4 linked regions of the Saccharomyces cerevisiae S288C genome follow. The gene in region 3 interacts genetically with the main gene of each other region. Each region holds a gene or a part of one and is shown on either strand. Other genes may lie near its edges.

Region 1 (4,924 bases), on a different chromosome or scaffold from region 3:
TATGAGACACAAGTGGCTCTTAACGAAAGTGAAAAAGATCAATGGCTCGAAGAGTATAAGAAACATTTTCCTCCAAACTTGGAAAAAGGTGAAAACCCATCTTGTGTTTATAACTTGATCGGTGTCATTACACATCAAGGTGCCAATTCTGAGTCTGGACACTATCAAGCTTTCATAAGGGACGAACTGGACGAAAATAAATGGTACAAATTTAATGATGATAAAGTTAGCGTTGTTGAAAAGGAAAAAATTGAATCTTTAGCCGGTGGGGGCGAAAGTGATAGTGCACTGATCTTAATGTATAAAGGATTTGGTCTGTAAGTCCATTTTTCATTTTTTCAAAATTAATAGTTTTTTCGGAATATACATATACATTTTTTTACATACACATAAAAATATTTCTCTCCCTTTTACGTTCATCCGCCAATCGATAAAAATGCATTTTATATACATGAAATGGCGAATTCTTTTTGGTCGAGTTTATGTATACTTTTTCTTATTCAACCCATAACGAGCTTCTTGAATTCTTCCATCTCTTCGTAACAATTCAATGGCTTGCCCTTATTGGCCAAAAGACACTCAGTCAATTTTGCCTTTATAGAAATGCTGCCGTTGTCGGTTTTTTTATCAGATTTACCTTTGGCACCCCCATATTTCTCCAACTTTTGTAACTCTAATTGATCAAATAATGTTAGTTTCTTGTTCAACGACTCGATTTGATTATTCAATGAACTTGATGATATTCCATCAACGGCATCCTTGTCGTCGTCTGATAATAGTGAATTGTTCAAAGTATCTTCAAACTTCTTTAACGTTTCAACTTCTAGGTTAGATAGCCTTTGTGAAACCTTCTTCTCAATGAACTTTTCTGCATTTTGCTTGGTGACATAGTCTGATTCCTTCGATGAATCCAATTGAGAAACCAAAGACTGTGAAAAATCGATCTGTGTTAGCGGAGTATAGACTTGTTGTTTTTCTGCACCAGCACCCACTTTGGAAGTGTTTGAACCCATGATTGACTCTGTATTAGTCGATATACCACCTTGTTTTTGTTCTTGAATTTTTTTTTGATTAGCAATCTCTTTGAAATGTTCCTCCTCACTTGTTTTTTCCTCTGCGTCTCATTGGAAGAAGAAATATATATATATGCGACATACCACGAATATTCGTAGTTTTTTACAACAAAAACGACTCTCGGTAGCCAAGTTGGTTTAAGGCGCAAGACTGTAATTTACCACTACGAAATCTTGAGATCGGGCGTTCGACTCGCCCCCGGGAGATATTTTTTTAAATCTTGCAGCTTTCAATATTTAAATATAAGTAATAAACCATCAGTTAAACAACAGAACAAGTATTTCTTAAATCTCATGAAAAATCTAATAATGTTATTTGCCGAATTTTATTATTGATTTGGTTGGTCTTCTTGATAATTCTGTGGGCGCTTTTTTTGTGACATATTAAAATTGCGAAATTGCAAACGAAAATATAAATATATATGAATGTTAATAAATAAATTATTTAATTGATGATTGAGGATGAAATACACTTTTATGATCTGTCCTTACGCGTAATAATTACAAGAAGGTGAGAAAATTGCCTTTTTTTGCTAATTTTTTTTTTTTGGTACCATATTCAATAATTGATGCTAAATTATAAATTGATTTTATTGTTTTCCTCTTTCCTACAATTAATCTCTTTTTCTGGCTTTATGATATGTTGTTTAACTTCACCAATAATTAGAAACTGGGGGCTGGCTCAAGCTGCTGGAGTTTCATATGGTACCTTTGGTTACTGTAAAACTTTGAATTCTTTTTCCTGCTCTCGAGTACGTTTAATATATAACACCTCGAAAGAAATATTACCTGGCCCTTCTCTTGAACGTTGGTGGCTGAGTCCTAAGGCAAGACATACAATAGGAGGACTTTTGATTTCGATACCGGTTGCTACATGTTTGACTTTCATTTCTTTTGCACTTCCCTTGGTTATTATTTTTCTTTTTCAGACTGGAGGAACTAATGTCTCACTTATTACTTCCAACGCTATATTACACATATTGACACTTTTATCAACTATTTTTGCATGCACCGTGATCCTGTTACTTTGCATGCACCGTGATCCTGTTACAATTTCATCCTTATACGACTTGGTGTGGCTGGCTAACTGTTCCCTGTTCCCTCTGCTCGTTATTGGCGTGCATTTTCTCAGTTTTAGGTTTGATACGTCTGCGCAGTCAGACAGAAAACATAGCTAAAGAAGCTAGTATAGAGAACGTAGACAGTATTCTCAAACTATATGGAACGAGTCAAACATCAAGTTCCCTTGGCGAAAATTATCCACAAACAACTAAGGGCACAGACCAATCTGTGTATGACATCACAAGTCTTTTTAATGATCTACCAAGGACCTTAGATCCCAATCAAGATAAACTGGCGGTAACAAATCAAGATGAACCACCGCCTGAAATCAAATCTCCATTGAAGCAAGCAGGTTTGGTGAGTTTCTTCGCTCCAAAGTTGAATGGTAAACAAATATTTTCTAGAAGGCATGTTGAAAATCAAAAATCCTTATCTTTGGATGAAATCAATATAACCGACTTACCTGCAAAGCAAGAAAATGTGGAAATGCCTACTGAAAAAAAAAAGGCAAATATTTTATATTATGAGGGAATCTCAAGCCATTCACAAGATAACTACGACCCTCCTTGGTTATTTGGCGTTGAGGCTACCCAATCAGCCGATTGCTTTAAAATATATTCAAAAAAAAATCATTGTCTCACAGAGCCCCGCCAATATCAACTACAACAACCAAATAATTACCAGGATCAAAGTGAGGTTCCTCATAACTCTTTCATTCCTTGGTATTCCCGAAGAAGACCAGTAGGATACAACCACAATTACAATCGCTACTACTCACAGACAACTCATGGTAACAGCGAACACTCCCGACAAACATTGCCACAGACCTACAACATACACAGCATGCTCCCCAGAAAGTACAAGCCCGCCTACAAAAAACAGGCACATCGTGTGAAGAGTAATCCACAACCAGCTTATACTTTCCAATGACAAAATAACAAGAATAAAGTACTATCCAATCTGCTTTTTTTGTACGCGTTTTGTTGGCGCGCCGCAATTTGAAAAATAAGAATAAAGTACTTCTTGCTACTATTTAATGATTCCATCCGTATTCCACATCGTTGACGTCTGAGTCTGATAGACTAGTATATAGAAAATAAAAATAAGATAGAGTAAATAGTATGCTACTTTTATCGAGCCCATCTTTTTGAGCTTAATTTCTGAAACAAAGAAAGGAAGTGCCCATTTTTCCTCTTAACGGTTTCTAAAATTACTGAAGAGAAAACAACTTTTAGATGTAATTTATTTACATTAACATTAGCAGTGACTACAGAGGACAGGTATGGCGGTATGGCGGTATTTGTTAACATTGACTTTCCTTATGCGTGGAAGTACTAGTAATATTCCCTCTCGGATCATAAAAGTGAAATATCGTGCTTCACGATTTGCTGAAACTTTAACAAATTCATTGAAATTACGTGAGTTTATACTAATGAATGGACTTAATTTCTTAAGATGGTGATATCTTCCACATTGGTTTCGGCCAACAAAACTATCACTTACCAAGTACTTCAAGCAAAGTTTGCAATCCCCTATTGTTTATGGATTCTCCATCCAATTCTATCCAGAATTTGCAGCAAGAAGCCCAGGGCAGCTCTTCCGCACAGCTTGCTGACCATGATCATGATCGCGTATCAATGGCTATGCCCTTACAAACCGATCAAAGTGTTAGTGTTTCACAATCTTCTGATAATTTAAGGAGATCAAGACGTGTTCCTAAGCCAAGAACGAGCATTTATGATGAATACGAGGAAGAGTTAAAGGAAAGGGCGAATAAACCCAAGAGGAAGAGACCTGCTCCTCCTAAGAAAAAGGCACCTTCCACACAGAACTCTAAATCAAATGATAAAGTAGAGAAAAAGAAGACTACCTCAATTGCTAAGGATGGCAAACCTACACTGAAGACTAATGACAAAAAAGTGGCGCCGAAACCTAAACCAGCCCATGAACAAGTAGAACCCGCTTTGATCCCTAGCAATTGGACTTCTGTAATACCCTTGCTTACTTCTGATTTCAAGAACCAGTATAGTGTCATCTCTAGGTTAAAAAATCCGAACATGAAGCCTGTGCCATATGCTGGAGATATCATTAAGCTGATGGCGTTCATAAATAAGTTTAGTTCTTTTTTCCATTCTGACCTACAAAATTTATCATTCCAAGATTTTGAGGTCGGTTTAGATTTGTATCCCGGCGATCCTAATGGAAGCGCAGCTGGTATAGTGAAGGGTCCTGAAGACACCTCCTTATTGCTATATCCTGATTTTATGGCCATCAAGGATATCGTCTATTGCCAAGACAAAATGAATTTACTGTTCCTATCCTTGTTAGATTTAACATTTACTGAAAATTTTGATGGTAAAAGTGCCAAGAAGAAAGGTCCATTAACAACCTGGGAGAATCTAAAATCGTCCTCCAAGAAAGTATTTTCCAATCCTCTTTATCGGTTAAGACTTGTAGCTCGCGAATGGGGGTATCCACGAGAATGGCGTCAACAACTCCCCAGTGACCAAGATATCTCCAAACCTAAAACTGCTCTTTTTGAACAAGATGAACAAACACCAGTGGTGGATCCCAGTCATCCAGAAATTTTAACGCCAAATATATATACCTGGAATGCTAATGAACCACTCCCATTGGAATCAAATCCTTTGTATAATCGAGAAATGGACAAGAATGGAATTTTGGCGCTCAAACCAATGGATCGCGTTGTTTTATTGAGGGCGTTAACTGACTGGTGCGCTTCCCATTCATCTGCTATTCATGACGAGATATACAAATTAACTCATGGT
Region 2 (5,736 bases), on a different chromosome or scaffold from region 3:
CGATAGTCTTGGACCTTATTTTGGTAGCACGCGACTTCAAATCTCTTGCGAGCCTTTTTTAATCTCACTAATGAAACATTAGTTAACTTAATCTGTCCCGACGGTTGATTGATAGGCATTGCGTGTTTTACCTTTTCTTTCTCAGAACTATTTTAGTAAAAATTTTAAAAACTTTTACTACTGCATGAAATCACTTAAGTTCGGCCTAGAAAAATTTTTTCATGAACATTATTATATATACAAGGCACTGAGCAGAACAATACACGCTAAGTTTTGTTCTTTCATGAGGTCATAATAAGTTAAATAACAGTCAATACATAAATGCAAAACTAAAAGTACACAGTTTTATTATTTTCTTTTCGTCGTAATGTAGTTTTTATAATCAGTCAACTTTTTTTTTGCTTTTAGATTTCGTTTGTTCCTTTTGTCTTTGGATCCAAAGTTTCTTGAAAATGTAGCCAAAACAATGCCAGCAGGAATATCGAAAAAGATGGGTATAATATAAGTAAAAAAAAAATTTTAACAATGAAATAATACAGGAGAATTCGTGGTTTACAATTTCTGGTTTTTTTCGAAATTGCTATGTGGCTTCTCCAACAATGTAATTGTAGGCTTTTCTTTCTTTTAAGTCCGTTTATCGTATACAGAAAAAGTGCAGGATGTTGTAAGTAAAGGTAGTCAGTCATACCATCATGACAAAATCCACCTCTTGGCAAACATATCTAAAATAGCTCTATAATGGCCGATGACACCCAACACTACGAAGAAATGCCAAAAAGTGTGCGAACAACCAAAATAGTCAACCCACCATAGAGATTTAAATGATTTGGCATGAGACGGACAGGAACTGCATTTGGAATGGGCTGTTGGCACCTCTCTAAAATGAATTTCCCTTTGCTTTGTGATGATTTCTAAATCAGTAGATAATTCGTAGTTTGTTGGAATGGTCTTATCAACCTGAACGTCAGATCTGAACCGTTCAGGAATGAACGAACCGTAAAATACCACACCAACCAAATACCAAACAACAGATTTGTATGTGACGGGGCTAAATAGCGTTGCAGCATAATGAAGATCAGTCAAAAATATCAAATGTAAAAACGACAATACACCCATAGTAGCCAGCAAAATGAAGAATCTAATTCTTAATGGCCTTGCTTCAGGTCTATCAAAGCGAGGCGACCAATTCATAAACACACCAAATACACCCAGCGCCAGAGAAATACTCATGTAAGTGTACATCGCCCAGTAACATGAATACATGGTAACAAACTCCGTTGTCAATATCGAAGCTGTAATTAAGATCGTAATACCGCTATAGTCGACACACGCAAATTTAGAACGTAGCTTCAAGAAGGACGTTCCGTTGAAAGTATGCCAAAACACGGAGCTTAGCATACATTTCAACGCAGCTGCCAAAAACATGAAAACAATCCATCTAGCCTGTGGTGGAACCTGGGAATTCCGCCAAACTTCAGACTGAGGGAAATCGTAAATTGCCAAGTAGATTATATAAATGGCTCCTAACAAATGAGACCAAATATTTGAAGTTTCATTATGCCAGCCGTACCAGTTAAAGATAGACAACAAAGATTTGGAATGGGTATTGTAAAACCTATAGCCATGGATTATGTATCTGTTTTCCCTCCATGGGAATGGCAACTGATAATAATGTAAATGTTGAGTTTCACCTAGACTATACGCTTTGCCATGGTTGTATGAGTTTATAAAAGACTTGATATCGGTAGTAGGATTCAAAGGTTCTTCAATGAGGATTTCCGTCTTTACCATGGATTTTCTCATTGGACCGCAATAGTCTTTCACGCTGGAAATATAATTGTTTTCCTCTTTGATTTTTGTATCATTGAGACGACTTGTTGGGGAACGTAACGAGGACTTCGCTTGAGAACATACAGTTGAAGATGAAGACACCAGTGAAGTGGATGTAGAAGCATTGTTAAGCTTGAAAGTAGCGACTGAATTCACCAAAGTGGCTGCATCTGAATCTCCCAGTGAAAACTGAGATTCTGTATTCAGAGACTTGCCACTGTTTCTTTTGTACACAGAACTTGTTACTTCCTTTTCTTTTGTTGGACGAATTATCTCCAAATCATCATACCGCCCACTTTCAGAGTGTTTAACACTTTCATCAATAGTTGAAAATGGATGAGGAACGAATTTTGAGTAGTTGTAATTATAGATGGATTTACCGGATTTTTTCACCTTCTGAAAATTGTCCACACCCTTCTGCTTTAGCCTTGATAGAGATCCCATGGGTGAGGGTATATACTGAGTTAAGCTTTTGCTTGACGAGTCCATCATGTACTTAATTTGATTGTCTGTTGGGATGTGAACTATTTTTCAGCTTATCTGCGTTGCAGCTTCTTCTTTGTCCACTTTACAATGGCTAAACTTTACCAGACGACAAAACAAGTGTAGAATTTGAATCAACTGTGTCCTAAAGAAAAAATAATGTCCAAAAACTCTTATTATAAAACGAGTAAACCACCACTTCGCTCGAATCGCCAAGCTTTCTAGATGTACACCCACGCTGTGTCACCTTATGACTATATACCTTATCCATCAACACTTTCTCCATTTCCTGCAGGGTAAAAAGAAAAGTGAAGTCACCCTGCACTATACGAGCTTCAGCCCATACCCCACACTAAAACATTTCTTTTTCTGCGGCATTTCTTTTTTTTTCGGTCCGTCCCTGTCCCTTCCCACGAGAAAGCGTAATGATCCTCGACCCTACCCCACTTCCCCACGCCAATTAAAACAGATAAAATTTCTTTTGATTTTTCGGATACGCTAATTTCGTAGCAATTTTGAATGACTAGACATTTGTTGGATAACTACATAGTCTCCCACCCACCAAGATCTGCACTGCCGTCCGTTAGTCGGAACACTATGTGCGGAATCATGTTGCCAAAAACAATCTCATTCGCTAGATTCGCGTATCTCGCCCGATTCAAATAGACGGGAGTACCGAATTTGTAGTCTTCGTTGGTCTCTCCGTATTTACTTAGATAAGGTGCAGCATAAAATGTACCTCTTTTGCCGTATGACAGATATATCGCATTTGTGCCGGTCATTAAGAAAACTCCGTAAGCGGAGGTGATTTCGCATCCATTTCTCATATGATCAGTACATTCCCCCTGTAAATAACCTTGCAGTGCTATGCTTTTTTGAATATGGCATTTTTGGCCACACAACAAGCATACTGCGATTTCGTATTTATCACATTTATTCGATATTTCATCATTATCAAGGGAAAATTTGGAAAGGTTCAATGGTAGTTCGATAAGCTGGATATGCTCTGGTGAAGGATATGCTCTTGTGTTTATGTTCTGCACCATGTCATATATTACTTGCTGAATTCTCAAATTATCATTACCATCATTATACCTTTCTATATTTTGTGTTAGTTCGTTGTAGAAAAAATCCTTCAAAAAGTGAGTTAAATTGGGTAATTTAAAATACCGGAAAATAAGCTCTATTTCACGCTGTTTGACGTCCATGAAATTATTGCTGCGGTTATTATTATTATCACCATCACCATCATCATCATACTGAATGTTGAATAATAAGAAGGTTCTTCTACAAAAAATGGACAATGACTCTAGTAATAGAGAGCATATAAAGTCTTTAATTTTCTCTAAACTTGTAAAATCAAACCGAACGTCGTCTGGTTTAAAGAGATCAACATACTTTTTAAAAGTATTGAATAGATATGAAAAGCTTGTCGATGGTTCCTCAGATCCGTTTGATGATATTTTGATTTTATTTCGACAGTCTTTGTAAAAGTTTACTCTCATCATATCTCTTGCAAGCAACAGTAGTAGTTGATGGAACCTTCTTTTGAACATTTCATAGATACATAGGTTAGGCGGTTGCGGGGTTTTTCCTCCATCAATATTATCAAAATTTTGACTCATATACAAAAGTAGATTCACATTATTACCCTTTATTAGAAACTCATTCCAATTCCATATTTTACGAGAGATTTCGCTGCTGAATGTTTTTGAATTAACAAATTTTTTGTAAATAAACGACTTTAGCTCACAAACTAAATGTAAGGTTAAAATGCACTGACTGGATATTCTTTCCATATTCACTATTTTTCCTTCCTTTTTGTGCGATCTTAATCTGAGCTCAGTATTTGAAATAGTATTAATAAAAACACTATTAACAACTTTATATGCATCTTCGATAGTCGTGACTTTTTTACCCTGAAGATCACCTAGAATCATCGCTGCTTTAATACAAATAGAGCTCATTGGGTCAAGGTTTTCTTCCGCTTCACTTCGCTTTTCAATACACATAAAAAACTGGCTCGAAGTTCTCTTATCTATATCATTTGTTTTTGGTAGAAATGAATTACTTAAGGAATTGCATACGGGACAATATATCAACCCTGAACCATACGATAATGGAATATTTTTTGTAGTTTGGTTTTGTATTCCGCGAATCGACTTCATATGGCCACTTAAACATTTGGTATGAGACCCATGCCCGCATGCTCTTAATACTGGTTCACAGCTAGTAAATTTCAATCTCGTTCCATCATCATCCTGGGGGTTTTCTTGGATTGCACTGTCTTTTGTTTGCTTACCACTGAACAGCGAATTTATTCTATTAACATCTGTAGGATTCGTAAAATCAATTCCATGATCACATATGTTCCGTTCTTGGTATGAAAAATAAACAAATACATCGTCATCCTTCGGCATCTTGCAAAATACGCAATCATCATCGCAGCAACTGTTGATTGTGTTACTACTATTCTCTGCATTTATTCTAGTGGGAGATAAACTAGGTGATGTGGTTCTGGGTGTACTAATATCGGAAGTATCTACACTATTGTTTTCCATGAATTTCATTTGCTGTTGAGCCAACTTCTTCATTAATTTTTTCTTTCTCAATCGAGCAAGATGTTTTTTCCTTTCAAATTCTTTATCCTTGTGGCTTTTATCTTCCTTTGTAGGCCACAATATTCCTGGTGTATATGACGTGGTTTGCTCCCTCAAATAACTGTTTACATTTACGTGAGGCGCTGTTTCCATTAAATACCTGAAAATTTCCCTAATCTTACCATGAGATTCCGAAAAATTATCCTTCAACAAACAGTAATACAGGATAGAACCAATGCTGTGGTAATGACAGAATTCTGTGTCCACAATTGCGTATTCATGCCACAGTATCCCCATAAATTCATTCAGATTATTAACCACGCATAAATGAATCAAATGAACCACTCTCGGCAATAAATTGTCATAATCATATTTTATAATGTGATCTAAAGTATTTTTCAAAAATAAACCAAAAGTATTCACTGATGATATTGAATACAGCCCAGAAAATAATGTATTCTTCAACAAATCTTTAACCTTTTTTGCTGGTACAAAAGTATCTTCATATTTCATTTTCTTCAAATTTGCCATATTCAGCCTGATATTTTTCTCTACATCATACCTCCTACTGGAAGACAACCCTATATAATAAGGATCAATCTCATCTTTATACTTTTCTTTCAACACGAAAATGCCATTGTCAGTCAAGCTTACAGGAGAAGTGTAATTGGCGTATTTTTCGAGATATATATCAAATGAAGGGTGCTTGGTGATATGTTCTGGAATACAGTTAACAATTTGTGCGTAAGAGCATGTATCAAAGCAAAGGGCATGAATTATTTCTGATTTGAACGTTCTCTCGAAGCCTTCCTTTGATGATTTC
Region 3 (4,226 bases):
TCCAGCTGCCACCGCTTAGAGTCAGGAAAAAGACGATGGATATATATATAATAGTCGTATTTAAGATATAACAGATAAAAAAATAATACATTCACCACGCTTGTTAAAAAGCATGCCGTATATTTCCCATAAATTGAACCATATTCTTAATAGTCTAAAGATATCTTGGTCTTCTTTGCAGGTATATTATGTGAGATTTCATCCGAGTGCGAGTGTGAATGTGACTGTTCCGAGGCAGCTGAACCTTCAGCATCATCCACGGGTATGCCCCATTGTTCTATTTCAAACTTTTTTCTGCCATTCTTAAATGCCCATTCAGACTTTAAAACTCTCATCTCTCCACGGTCCGTGAAAACTGGTAATTTCAATATGTGGACTAGCCCATGTTGAATCTTCCCCGGTTGCGATTTATAAACACGTTCTAAGAACTCAGTCATCTCCTGGTTAAAGGGTTCTAGATTGATAACAGAATCGAACATGTTTCTCAGCAATACCAGTAATGGGGGAGTGATAATGTCTATGGATATGGAAGCAAACAGTACAACCCGCTCATAGTATTTCTTGACAAGACTCCTCACACCGTGCATTAAACCTATTATTTCAGATGATTCAAACATTTTGGGCGGATACATTGCCGGATGTAGAAGGGAAGGAATAACAATTCTTATCAGTTTCTTGTCATTCCTTTTAATAGTCTGTTCTATTTGGCTCAAAATAGTGGAGACAGGTTGAGTTGGGGCGATAAATGTCAGTTCAGATGCTATGGGAGCGGGCATCAGACGCGTTGTAATATCAAACTGATGATTGTAGTCCTTGTACTCAGAATTTTGTTGGATGTCATCTCGATCCGGAGAACCCAATCTCTTTTCATCTGCCAGTTTATATTTCCATGCAATTTTCAGGTCTTTGTACCTGGAAGGCGTCGATCTCTGGGTCTCGTTCAAATTTTGAACAGTAACTTTTGATTCTTCTTCAGAGATTAGGTTTTTCTTCATTTGTTTACGTGATCCCTTGTAGATACCAGGTAGCTCCTTTGCAAACATTTGGTTCAATGACAAGACAATGACATGAGTGTCGCCGTTTCTAGTTTTATCAGCACTGCTATCTGAAATTCTATTATGAACGATACCCTGTGCGGCAAACAGTTTACCGAGAATAGAGTGAAATTCTGTCGTGCTCTGCTCCTCTACTAGTACAGAGTTTCCCAGCGGCAGCCCCATATGGCCTAGTATACTGTCCAGGTCAGCACTCCCAGTTGATGTCGTCGGCTGAGAGGTTGCAGGAGAAGGTCTAACGCCCACATGGGAGCTATCCAGCCCCATTTTTGTCTTGGATTCGTCCGCAATATTCAACTTCTTTAATCTCGCTGTAGTGTCAGACAAGGGCACATTTCCAGGGGCTCTTCTGTTGCCTGTCCTCAATGGCGTTGAGGAAGTTCGTGGAGGACCTCTTAACAGTGGACCTCTTAGCCCGCTACCTCTATCGTTCAGTATTTCACCTCTTTTACGAAATGACATGGTACATGCGATATTTGGGAGCCGAATTTGTTATACAATGTTGTTCTCTGCACCTCATCTCTAAACTATCCAGCCTCATCGACATCTTCATATGTCGTTTTTGTTATTTTAACAGTTTAGAGTTCATTCCATGCGCTTTACCCGGTCTGGCGTCAAAAGCCATCAATAACATAGCTACTATTGCGTCTGAGAGAAGTCGACCATAGGGAAGAACTTGCCATCTGGTTTTGAGTTAGTTAGAATTATCACTATTGAAGATAGCCCAGCAAAATGCTTGTGCAAGAAAGCACATCGTCTAGTGGCCTTTTTTGAAGAAAGAATTGGAACTACTTTAGAAATACATTTACCACAGTGAGTATATGACACTGATATTCTCCTTGATTATCGCCCAAAATACATTGTAGGCTTCAAAAAGATTAAAATATCAATTAAAAGAGAGAGAATAAATAGGTTAAGGCCCAAATTACAATAGCGGCCTCCTATTTGTCTTTTCCATTCGATGCGATATTTATCAGTATTATATGAGAACAAATGGTGGTATTATAAAAAAAAAATATTATAATGAGATATATGTCTGATTTTAATAATAAACTTTTTAGCTAATGATTCCTTCTGCGTTCATTTTCTGAATATTATCAACAGCTGCTAGTTTTTTTTTTCCTTTACTGTCGTTAAGCAGTTCCCGAAGACTCACTACTGATGCTTAACAAAAAAAAAAAAACGTAGTTCGAGAATAGCGAGAATATGGTGTGAACAGTAGCACTCCAATTACTGAAGGATTGCATGCCTGCTTGTGTTGCAAATGAATTTTGTTACCTGCCATGTTCAGATGAGGCTTCTTCTCCAAAGGAGACTAGTGCGTTTACGAGAATCAGAGCTGTTTAGACCCCAGACATCATTGTCAACTTTCAAAAGACATGCTTCGCAAAAGACACGCCCTATACAAAAATGCTCGAGAAAATACGCACGTATACTTCTGTTGTCTGTTTTGGTACCTTACACAGGATATGCGTTTTATGTATCATTGGCTACAGTGAAGCAAATTGATTTAAGAAACGAAATGTGTCAAAGATTAGAGGAGAATAATAACGAGGTCACTTATAAGGGATCCTTGCTAAAATATAGCCCTTTGGAAGTTTTAGGCAGATTTGAGAACCCGTTCGAAGAATACAGGATTCAGACCGTTTTTGAATTCTTTGCAAATAGAGTGTTCGAATTATTTGAAAGAAATAGGGGAGGTATTCCACGTGATGTACACCAAATGAATAAGTTAATGCCTGTACACAAGCCAACATGGGGGCCTAACTTAGTGGACGTCGACCCCGCAGAGGAAACGGCATTGCCGCTAGAATGCAAAGTGTTAGACGAATTGCACATACCGACTGCAGTAGAAGAAAATGAAGGATCAAAGTGCCCAGTCTATAACACATGGCTGGGCCAGTCCTGTAACTACACGGTTTATAATGGATTGAGGATACTTACTGATCCTCTGTTCAGTGACTTTCTTATCCACAAGACCCTGGGTCCTAAAAGAATTACTCAAATGCCATCTCAAATTACAGAGGTGCCCAAACCAGATATCATCCTTGTATCCCATAATCACCCCGATCACCTGGATTTAGAAAGCTTGGAATACTGGAGTGGCAAAGACTCTCCCTTATGGATAGTACCTAAAGGAATGAAATCTTATATGACAAGTAACGGCTGTGATAATGTCCTAGAATTATCTTGGTGGGAAACTTTGCAAGTAAAGAAAAACAATGAGATATACCACATATCGGCTACTCCTGCCATGCATTGGTCTGGGAGATCGCTCTTAGATACGAACAAGTCTCTATGGTGCTCCTTTTTATTAACACACCATGGTAATCCCATACTTTTTCATGCTGGTGACACTGGATATGTGAAAGATTTATTCGTTAGAATTAAAGAACGCTTTGGCAAAGGTTGTAAATTAGCGCTGCTTCCATGTGGTCAGTATTGCCCTGAGTGGCACCAAAAACCACGACATATTAATCCTCAAGAGGTTCTCAAGATTATGAAAGATCTAGAAGCTCGAAATGTATTAGGCGTTCATTGGGGGACCTTTGTATTAAGCGGAGAATATTTCTTAGAGCCAAAGGAAAAATTAGAAATGTTGGCCGAGTGGGGTGGGTTTAAAGACCGCTGCTACTGTCCAGAATTGGGCAAGACAGAATGCTTCGACTAACTTAGGCGCTAATATTTAAGCTGCAGCGTCCCTGTAAATAGCGATAAATTACAGTAAACGTAGACTTTGGGAGATTGTACTCACTGAACATTTTATGATTTAATGATTTTGTAATTTAAAAACATTCGTATGATATCCAATAAGATGTTATAAAGAAATTACAATTAATGTTGATAAAAAATCAATTCAAGTAATGGATATCGATTTGTTATTTCATCTCTTCATATACAAGGCAAACAAAATAGGTATAATATTTACAAGAAAAACCTACATACTGCAGCCACACTAAGATTCTCTCACATCTAGGTAACATCAACTTCTGCTCATTTTTTTGAATTACTATACTTGATATTGTAAGGTTCCAGAATGCTTTCAGGTATCACACTTGGACTCTTGACAACCAAATCAGCCCCGGTAATACTTTTTGGGAAGGCGATTACGTCCCTTATACTCTCAGTTTCACAGATCATAGCGCACATACGATCAAAACCAATAGCAAA
Region 4 (6,564 bases), on a different chromosome or scaffold from region 3:
ATATGTTCATACTACTGGAAGAACTGCCAGAGGTAGTCGCTCCGGTACTGCTATTACTCTTCTATTGCATGATGAACTGTCAGGTGCTTATATCTTGAGCAAGGCAATGCGCGATGAAGAAATAAAAGCTTTAGACCCTCTGCAAGCAAAAGAACTTCAGGAAATGAGTGCCAAGTTTGAATCCGGTATGAAAAAGGGTAAGTTTAGGTTGTCGAAAGGGTTCGGCGGCAAAGGACTGGAAAATATCAAAAGTAAAAGAGAGGAAGCTCAAAATAAAGATTTGGAGCTCAAAAAGAATGATAAGAGGAGCGATGACTTGGAAAAGAAAATCAGCAATCCACGCGAAGGGCATGACAGTGTGTCTGAGTCTTCTGCGCTTATTCCGAGACTCAATTATGAACTATTCAAAGAGTCTACAGACGGGTCGATCATCTTTTACGCCAAGGTTTATATTAATGATTTACCCCAGATTGTAAGATGGGAGGCTACAAAGAATACAACCTTATTATTTATCAAGCATGAAACCGGATGTAGTATTACTAACAAGGGTAAATTTTACCCTGAAGGGAAGGAACCAAAGAATGAAAACGATGAGCCTAAACTATACTTATTGATCGAAGGCCAAGATGAGAAAGACATACAATTAAGTATAGAATTGCTGGAGCAAAAAGTTAAAGAGGGGGTCGTAAAGGCTGCAAGCTTGTCTTTGAAGAGTACTAAATACTAGTTTTTAGAATTTAACTCACTCGTGGTGCTATATACTTTCGTAGTTAGTTCTGAAATTTTTAGGGTGGTAATTTAAAGCATATTCAATCATAATAAAAAAAAAAAAAGAGAATTATTAGGAAAAATAAAAACAAAATAATATATAATATATGATGTAGAAAAAAATCTTGAAATTTTTATCGATTCGAATAAAATGGAATTTAAAAAAGTGGGAAAGAAACAATGAGAATTCATAGGATATAATGAAAGGTAAATGCTTTAAAAAAAAATTAAGAGGGGAAAATAAAAGTAGAAAAGCAAATAAAAACAAAACATGGAATAAAAGTAACTTCAAAAAAATTTATCAAGAAAATGGTAGGCTTGAAGAATATAATAATAGTTTTTTAGTTGATTTGAGATGTGATATGACAAATAAAAAATAATGAAATAACGATAAAAATAAGGAAGGGAAAAACTGACAATCGAATAATAATATTAATAATGGTAAGTTTATCACATCAATTCATAGGGAATATAAATTTGAAATTGTTACTCTTCTTTCTTTTTTTGTTCTGTAGAGAAAGAAGGTGAAAAGTGAAGGATATTAACTTTAAACACACGTTGGCTTCAAATTATGTAATTCAGGAATAGGAATATCGTTAACGATTAAAGTTTGGAATTGGTTCAAAACTTCTTGCAAAACGGAATATTTGACAGCGGTCCCTGTTGTTAATCTGGCTAGTTGTCTGGAATCACGGCAATATGGAGAGTAACGTTTAACAATTTTCAAATACAAAACCATTCTGCCGTCAACTGGTATGGAAGAAGAAGCAGCCTCCGCAGCAAATTCATCAAATGCACCAGAAGCAGTTGCTGCTTGCAATGCTGGATGAGAGTAGAAGTCCATTGGATTTTGAGGATTGTTGAACAAATGCTCTGGTGCTGGAGTATCCATTGGAGTTAAGGATGGCGAAGGAGTTGCGGTTCTGCTTATTTGAGTGCTGTTCATGTTACTTTTCTTGGAATCTCTATCATTTTGGGTCCATGTTACAGTAGCATCTCTTAAGGCCGCCCAATCTGCGTTGGCAATAAATCTTTGACCAATTTCATCTGATTTGCGGATTAAATCCATCCATCTTTGGAGAATTTCTGCATTCGAAGCATCATCGACAGATCCCATAGACTTTAATAAGATTCTATAAGCGACTATTGTTTTTGGAATGTGGTACGCCTCGTAACTCTTATCGATGTATTCTAAAATACTGCGGTCATGCCAGACAGTGCATTTAGCCAAGATAATGTTAAAGAAAGGTTCATCTATATGCTTGATGTTGTTGTAAGTTTGAATAATATTTTGTAAAGTTTGAAAACCTTGCATCTTGTCCACAGCATAATTTTCAAAAAAAATGTCGAAAAAAGTGTCATTCAAAGATGAAGAAATACCGTGGTTGACGTTTCTACCATAATGTAAAGAAGACTTGTACCAGATTTGATAGATGTGGTTGAAATCACGGGTTTGGCTCCATATGTTTCTTAAAAAGGATTTCACGTAGGAAACTTGCAAGTCTATCTTGTATGGCATTTCATCATTTAAAGCCTTGTCAAAAAAGGTTTGAGCCACATTCAAGTCTTTACATTCACCAATGAAGGAAAGATGGGTTTCTATCAAATAACCGTATTTCATTTCGGTTGATTCTTGGCATAATTTTTGGAATAATTTGAGAGCCATGTCATTTTCACTAGCAGATAAAGAGGCTCTGATCATCCCAACTGAAAGATTTGGATGGAAGTAATTAATCATCGATGAAGACTTTTCATATAGAGCTTGAATTTCTGGATAAGAGACACCATTGTCGTATAAGATGGGTAATATAACACCGACAACTCTTGGATTCAGAAAAATATTAGATGTGTAGGTATTTTGCCCATTGATTGCAGCTTTCCATATGTCGACAGCTTCCTCAAACAACAAAAGCTCCTTAAACGCAGTTATCAAATGCATAGCACCGTATTCGTTCAGTTCGACCTTGCCGTTTAGAACGTCTTCGGAGATCTCTCTCAAAGATTTGCAAAGATAGTTTGTCATTTCTTTGTGAAAGGATTGAGAGTCGTAATCAGGTTTCTTGTTCATTCTCGTCAACTGATTTCTATTAGCTCTCAACCCATTGTGAAGTAAATGTACAAGCTTGGAGACACGATCAGAATTTAATTCCGGTGTAGTGAGTAGATCATGATACAGCCCCATTGCTCTACCTATAGAATCCCAAAATAATGGATTAGCGTTAGAATTTGGATGTTCTGAATGGTGTTTCATGTTTTGACGCCTTGGAGTTTGTGACATATAAAGAGTCTGTGAAACGCAATCTTCGAAGGCACAAACCTTATGAAACCATGGGGAGTCTGGGCTAATTGAATTACCTTGATTGGAGTTATTATACTTGCTATGATTATGGTTATTTTGATGATGGTTACGATTGTTATTGTGGTGATGATTACGGTTATTGTTATGATGGTTGTTACTATTATTGCTGTTATTCTGAGCTAGATGATTGTTGTTGTTGGCTCCAATGTTGCCACCAAAGTGAGGAACAAAATGGTTGGCTGGGCTTACCTGATAAGTAGCGAGGGCTGGATTGTTAAAAGTAGCAGGCGTGTAAGGAATGGCATAGTTGTGTTCATGGTGCTCCATAGCGATTGTACCGTTAAATTTCATTGGATGAGTCAGCGAATTCTTTGTCGGATGTGGAACAAACTGGTTTGGGGGTTTGCCCTTCAGTACTTGTGTTTGCTGAGCTAAACGGATCATAGGATCAGATTTGCAAGATAGAAAAGCAATTAGAGTAAGAAATATCAAGCTAATCACACGTTTTTAAAACCTCGATCCAACTATAGAACGTACTGTATTCAAGAAAAAAAACTGAGAGAAGAATGAAAGGAAAAGGGTTTCTATAGATATAACCAATGCGATATGTAACTTCAGTGCTGAACGACAAAGTTTCTTTATTGCCTTATTTTGACTTTCTTCGAGATGTCCATGGCATAACTTGAGCAAGGTTGAAAAAATTTTCTTTTCTTTTTTTCTCCGAAAGAAACCCGTTTCTTTTGGTGCACACACAAAGCTCGTGCAGAGTGCTGTCCTCTGAGAAATTACCGCAGAATCAGAGGATCTATGAAATTGCCTCTCTTGTACGAGCAGTTCACTGCAGGCACTCGTCCCTTCACACGGAAAAACAATATGGGAAAAGTTGCCTGAAAGTTTAAGCTTTTTTACATATTATCAAGGCAAGAAAAGAAGAGAAATTTTTCGAGAAAATGAACAACGAAGCAAACAATATGAAGAGGACTGCTGCTATTTTTCCAGTTAGGTACCATGTGGCATGCTGTTTTTCCGCAGTTCGTTATGTAAGGTGGAAGGCGGTGGTGTGTGAGACATGCCCTGTGAGACATTGGAAACTCATGCGTACAGAAAGTGAAACTAGCTCAATTGGTTGAGTTTTTTGATGGTATACGCCTGATGTTTTTTTCGACAACAGGTGAGTGAAATAAAACGAAGAGCAAAAAAAGAAGAAGAAATTTAAGAAAAAAAAAAAAAAAAAGGGAAGAAAAACGGAGCTACCCAATATCGGAAGATTCGTAAAGGCCGCCATATACACAATAGGGGCCCTTCGTTATATGTGCTCGAGCCTCTGGATATCGACCAGAATGAGCAGACGCCTACGAAACTGGTCAAGGCTTCAAGTAAAATTGCTGGAATCTGTTAACACTTTTAAAAGAACACAGTTCTTGACTTACTTTTGGTCTATGCATAGGTATTATATAATACGAGGTAGTAAAATGAGAAAAAAAGAAAAAAAAAGTCAATTGAGTATGGGCATGAAGTTACCCAAGATCATGAGGGGCAAACCAGAGACATCTCTTTTTAATGTCCACATACAGCAACAATGAATTATCTTGCCCTTGATGGGGCTTAAGAGCCTGCAAACTTTCATCTTCTCAGATCCTCTGAAGTCCCTATATGCAACTTTAGAGAGCGTTTTGAAGTAATCGCGTACACTTTCATCGTCCATGATCTCTACGATAAAAGTCATCTTGTTTAGTAGCTCCTCTCTTGTCCATCCGCATAGAATTTCAAATTCCTCGTTGACATAAGAAATTTGACCATTTCTTCGCCAAATACATGTCGGGGTACCGATTTGTGCAATAAATTTTACATATTCTAATAGAGTTCTTTGGTAGCATTGCTCCATAAAAATCATGTCCTCCTCGGTTAAAGTTACAGAACACGCAATGAAAATGGGCCGGAATTCGGCAATGGACCGACACATCTTCACCAGATCCTGCTGGTTGAATCGATGCTTTAGGTACACCAAAAGATGGTGGAATCCAGGTGTATGCGAAAAGGGGGCATTTATGGAGGTGTATATTTCCATTGGAGTAGAATAACGTAATGAATGTTCCCATTCTACATTGCTCTTGATGTTGGCAGCGTCTGGTGAACAGCTTTCCAGGGATACAGAGACCAAATGGTTTTTCCTCCGCTTTAAGGGGATAGCCAACTCGGGAAATGTTACCGTTTCGCTGTTCAAGTAATATTGGTTTATGCTTGAGTCCCAATTAATTTGGGAGCTCTTTTCAGATGGGTCCCGTGGCAATAATCTTTTAAAGTTTAAGGAATTATCAGCTGAATCAACGGGCACTAAGGGGAAATGGTTCGCGAAAAGATTAACTTGCGAAGCTACAATCTTGGCTGAATTTGGTCCCAGTAGAATAGAATAAACGTTTTGATTGGAAGATGGATACGGATGTGGGGGTATGTTTGCTCGCTGTTCGCTGTACAACTGGCGAATTTTCTCCATTTCTGTTTCTTCAGGGCTTGTATTTGTGCCCGTAGGGCTATTGTTACTGCTATTGCCTATTGTGGAGTTGGATGTGGAATTGGTGTTGGAGTACAGGATGTCAATAGGGATCTTGTTAGACAATGTGTCTTGATAGATGATATTCGACAGAATAGAGTACTCGGAATCTGCAGCATTCGATAGGAATTTAGCTTTGTGAACTATATGTTGTGGGCTGGTGAATTTTTGCTGTTCTCCCATGTTATTTACGTTGAGGCTACTATTGCTGGAGTTGTTATAAATGGGTATCATGATCTTGCGGGGTGGAAGGTCCGGTTGTATGTTCATTGGGAGCTCTCTATTCGGTATTCCAGCCAAGTACTTGCTTTTCTTTCTTGGAGCGTCAACGCATGTAGCCGTGAGGCCCTTGCTGATACATCGTAAGCATGGCCTTTTGGCCTCACATGACACATGCAATCTCGAACAGTTCACGCATGCCACGTTTGTGTTTTTTCTCTTTTTTCTCTTCTTTTTTTCGAGAGTATGATTTGTATTTGCAGATGTATCTGGGTCAGTTGATGTTTTGTAATCGTTTTCATCTGGAGTGCACATCACGATGATTCATCAATGTATTTTATTTTTATACCTTCGTGTGTCTGTTGTACCCAAAAGAAATGATAAAAATAGCTCAAGAGTATCCTGACTTTATATAACTAGCAATTTTATCTAAGAGAGTAATGCCGTTGCACCGGCTCTTGTTTAGTTTTTTTATGTGGTTACTCTTTTACAATATACTAAAATTGCAACTCATTTGCTTTTTTCATTTCTTTTCCTTCAATTTTTTTTTTTTTTTAGTCTACGGCTAACAAAAAGCATAGGCTCAGAATGATAGATAGATATCCGATAAATGTCAGTAAAGACAAAGAAATCAGTAAAATAAACGTTTCACCCTGGCAGATAGGAAACCCTATCTCCCAGTGATAAACTTTAATTTTTTTTCGTGCATATATATATATACATATAT

What was found.
Region 1: mutations in FMP30 (region 3) and MIC19 together harm fitness more than expected from each alone (negative genetic interaction), as found in Saccharomyces cerevisiae (2 studies listed by BioGRID).
Region 2: mutations in FMP30 (region 3) and IZH3 together harm fitness more than expected from each alone (negative genetic interaction), as found in Saccharomyces cerevisiae (2 studies listed by BioGRID).
Region 4: mutations in FMP30 (region 3) and YBR238C together harm fitness more than expected from each alone (negative genetic interaction), as found in Saccharomyces cerevisiae (2 studies listed by BioGRID).

Annotation. Positions count from the first base shown.
Region 1 is NC_001138.5:166,246-171,169, forward strand, and holds MIC19 (Mic19p), read right to left. Parts: upstream 1,014-4,924; coding exon 501-1,013; downstream 1-500. Other genes in the region: ubiquitin-specific protease UBP6, read left to right, coding at 1-321; DCV1 (Dcv1p), read left to right, coding at 1,643-2,251; YFR012W-A (uncharacterized protein), read left to right, coding at 2,979-3,065; IOC3 (Ioc3p), read left to right, coding at 3,677-4,924.
Region 2 is NC_001144.5:184,808-190,543, forward strand, and holds IZH3 (Izh3p), read right to left. Parts: upstream 2,323-5,736; coding exon 691-2,322; downstream 1-690. Other genes in the region: guanine nucleotide exchange factor SDO1, read right to left, coding at 1-119; putative ubiquitin-protein ligase UBR2, read right to left, coding at 2,856-5,736. UniProt on the Saccharomyces cerevisiae protein: ADIPOR-like receptor involved in zinc metabolism either by altering membrane sterol content or by directly altering cellular zinc levels.
Region 3 is NC_001148.4:357,500-361,725, reverse strand, and holds FMP30 (N-acetylphosphatidylethanolamine-hydrolyzing phospholipase D), read left to right. Parts: upstream 1-2,319; coding exon 2,320-3,726; downstream 3,727-4,226. Other genes in the region: Elongator subunit ELP4, read right to left, coding at 147-1,517; aspartate--tRNA ligase MSD1, read right to left, coding at 4,050-4,226. UniProt on the Saccharomyces cerevisiae protein: Hydrolyzes N-acyl-phosphatidylethanolamines (NAPEs) to produce N-acylethanolamines (NAEs).
Region 4 is NC_001134.8:693,792-700,355, forward strand, and holds YBR238C (uncharacterized protein), read right to left. Parts: upstream 3,512-6,564; coding exon 1,316-3,511; downstream 1-1,315. Other genes in the region: DEAD-box RNA helicase PRP5, read left to right, coding at 1-727; ERT1 (Ert1p), read right to left, coding at 4,563-6,152. UniProt on the Saccharomyces cerevisiae protein: May be involved in the processing or stability of mitochondrial mRNAs.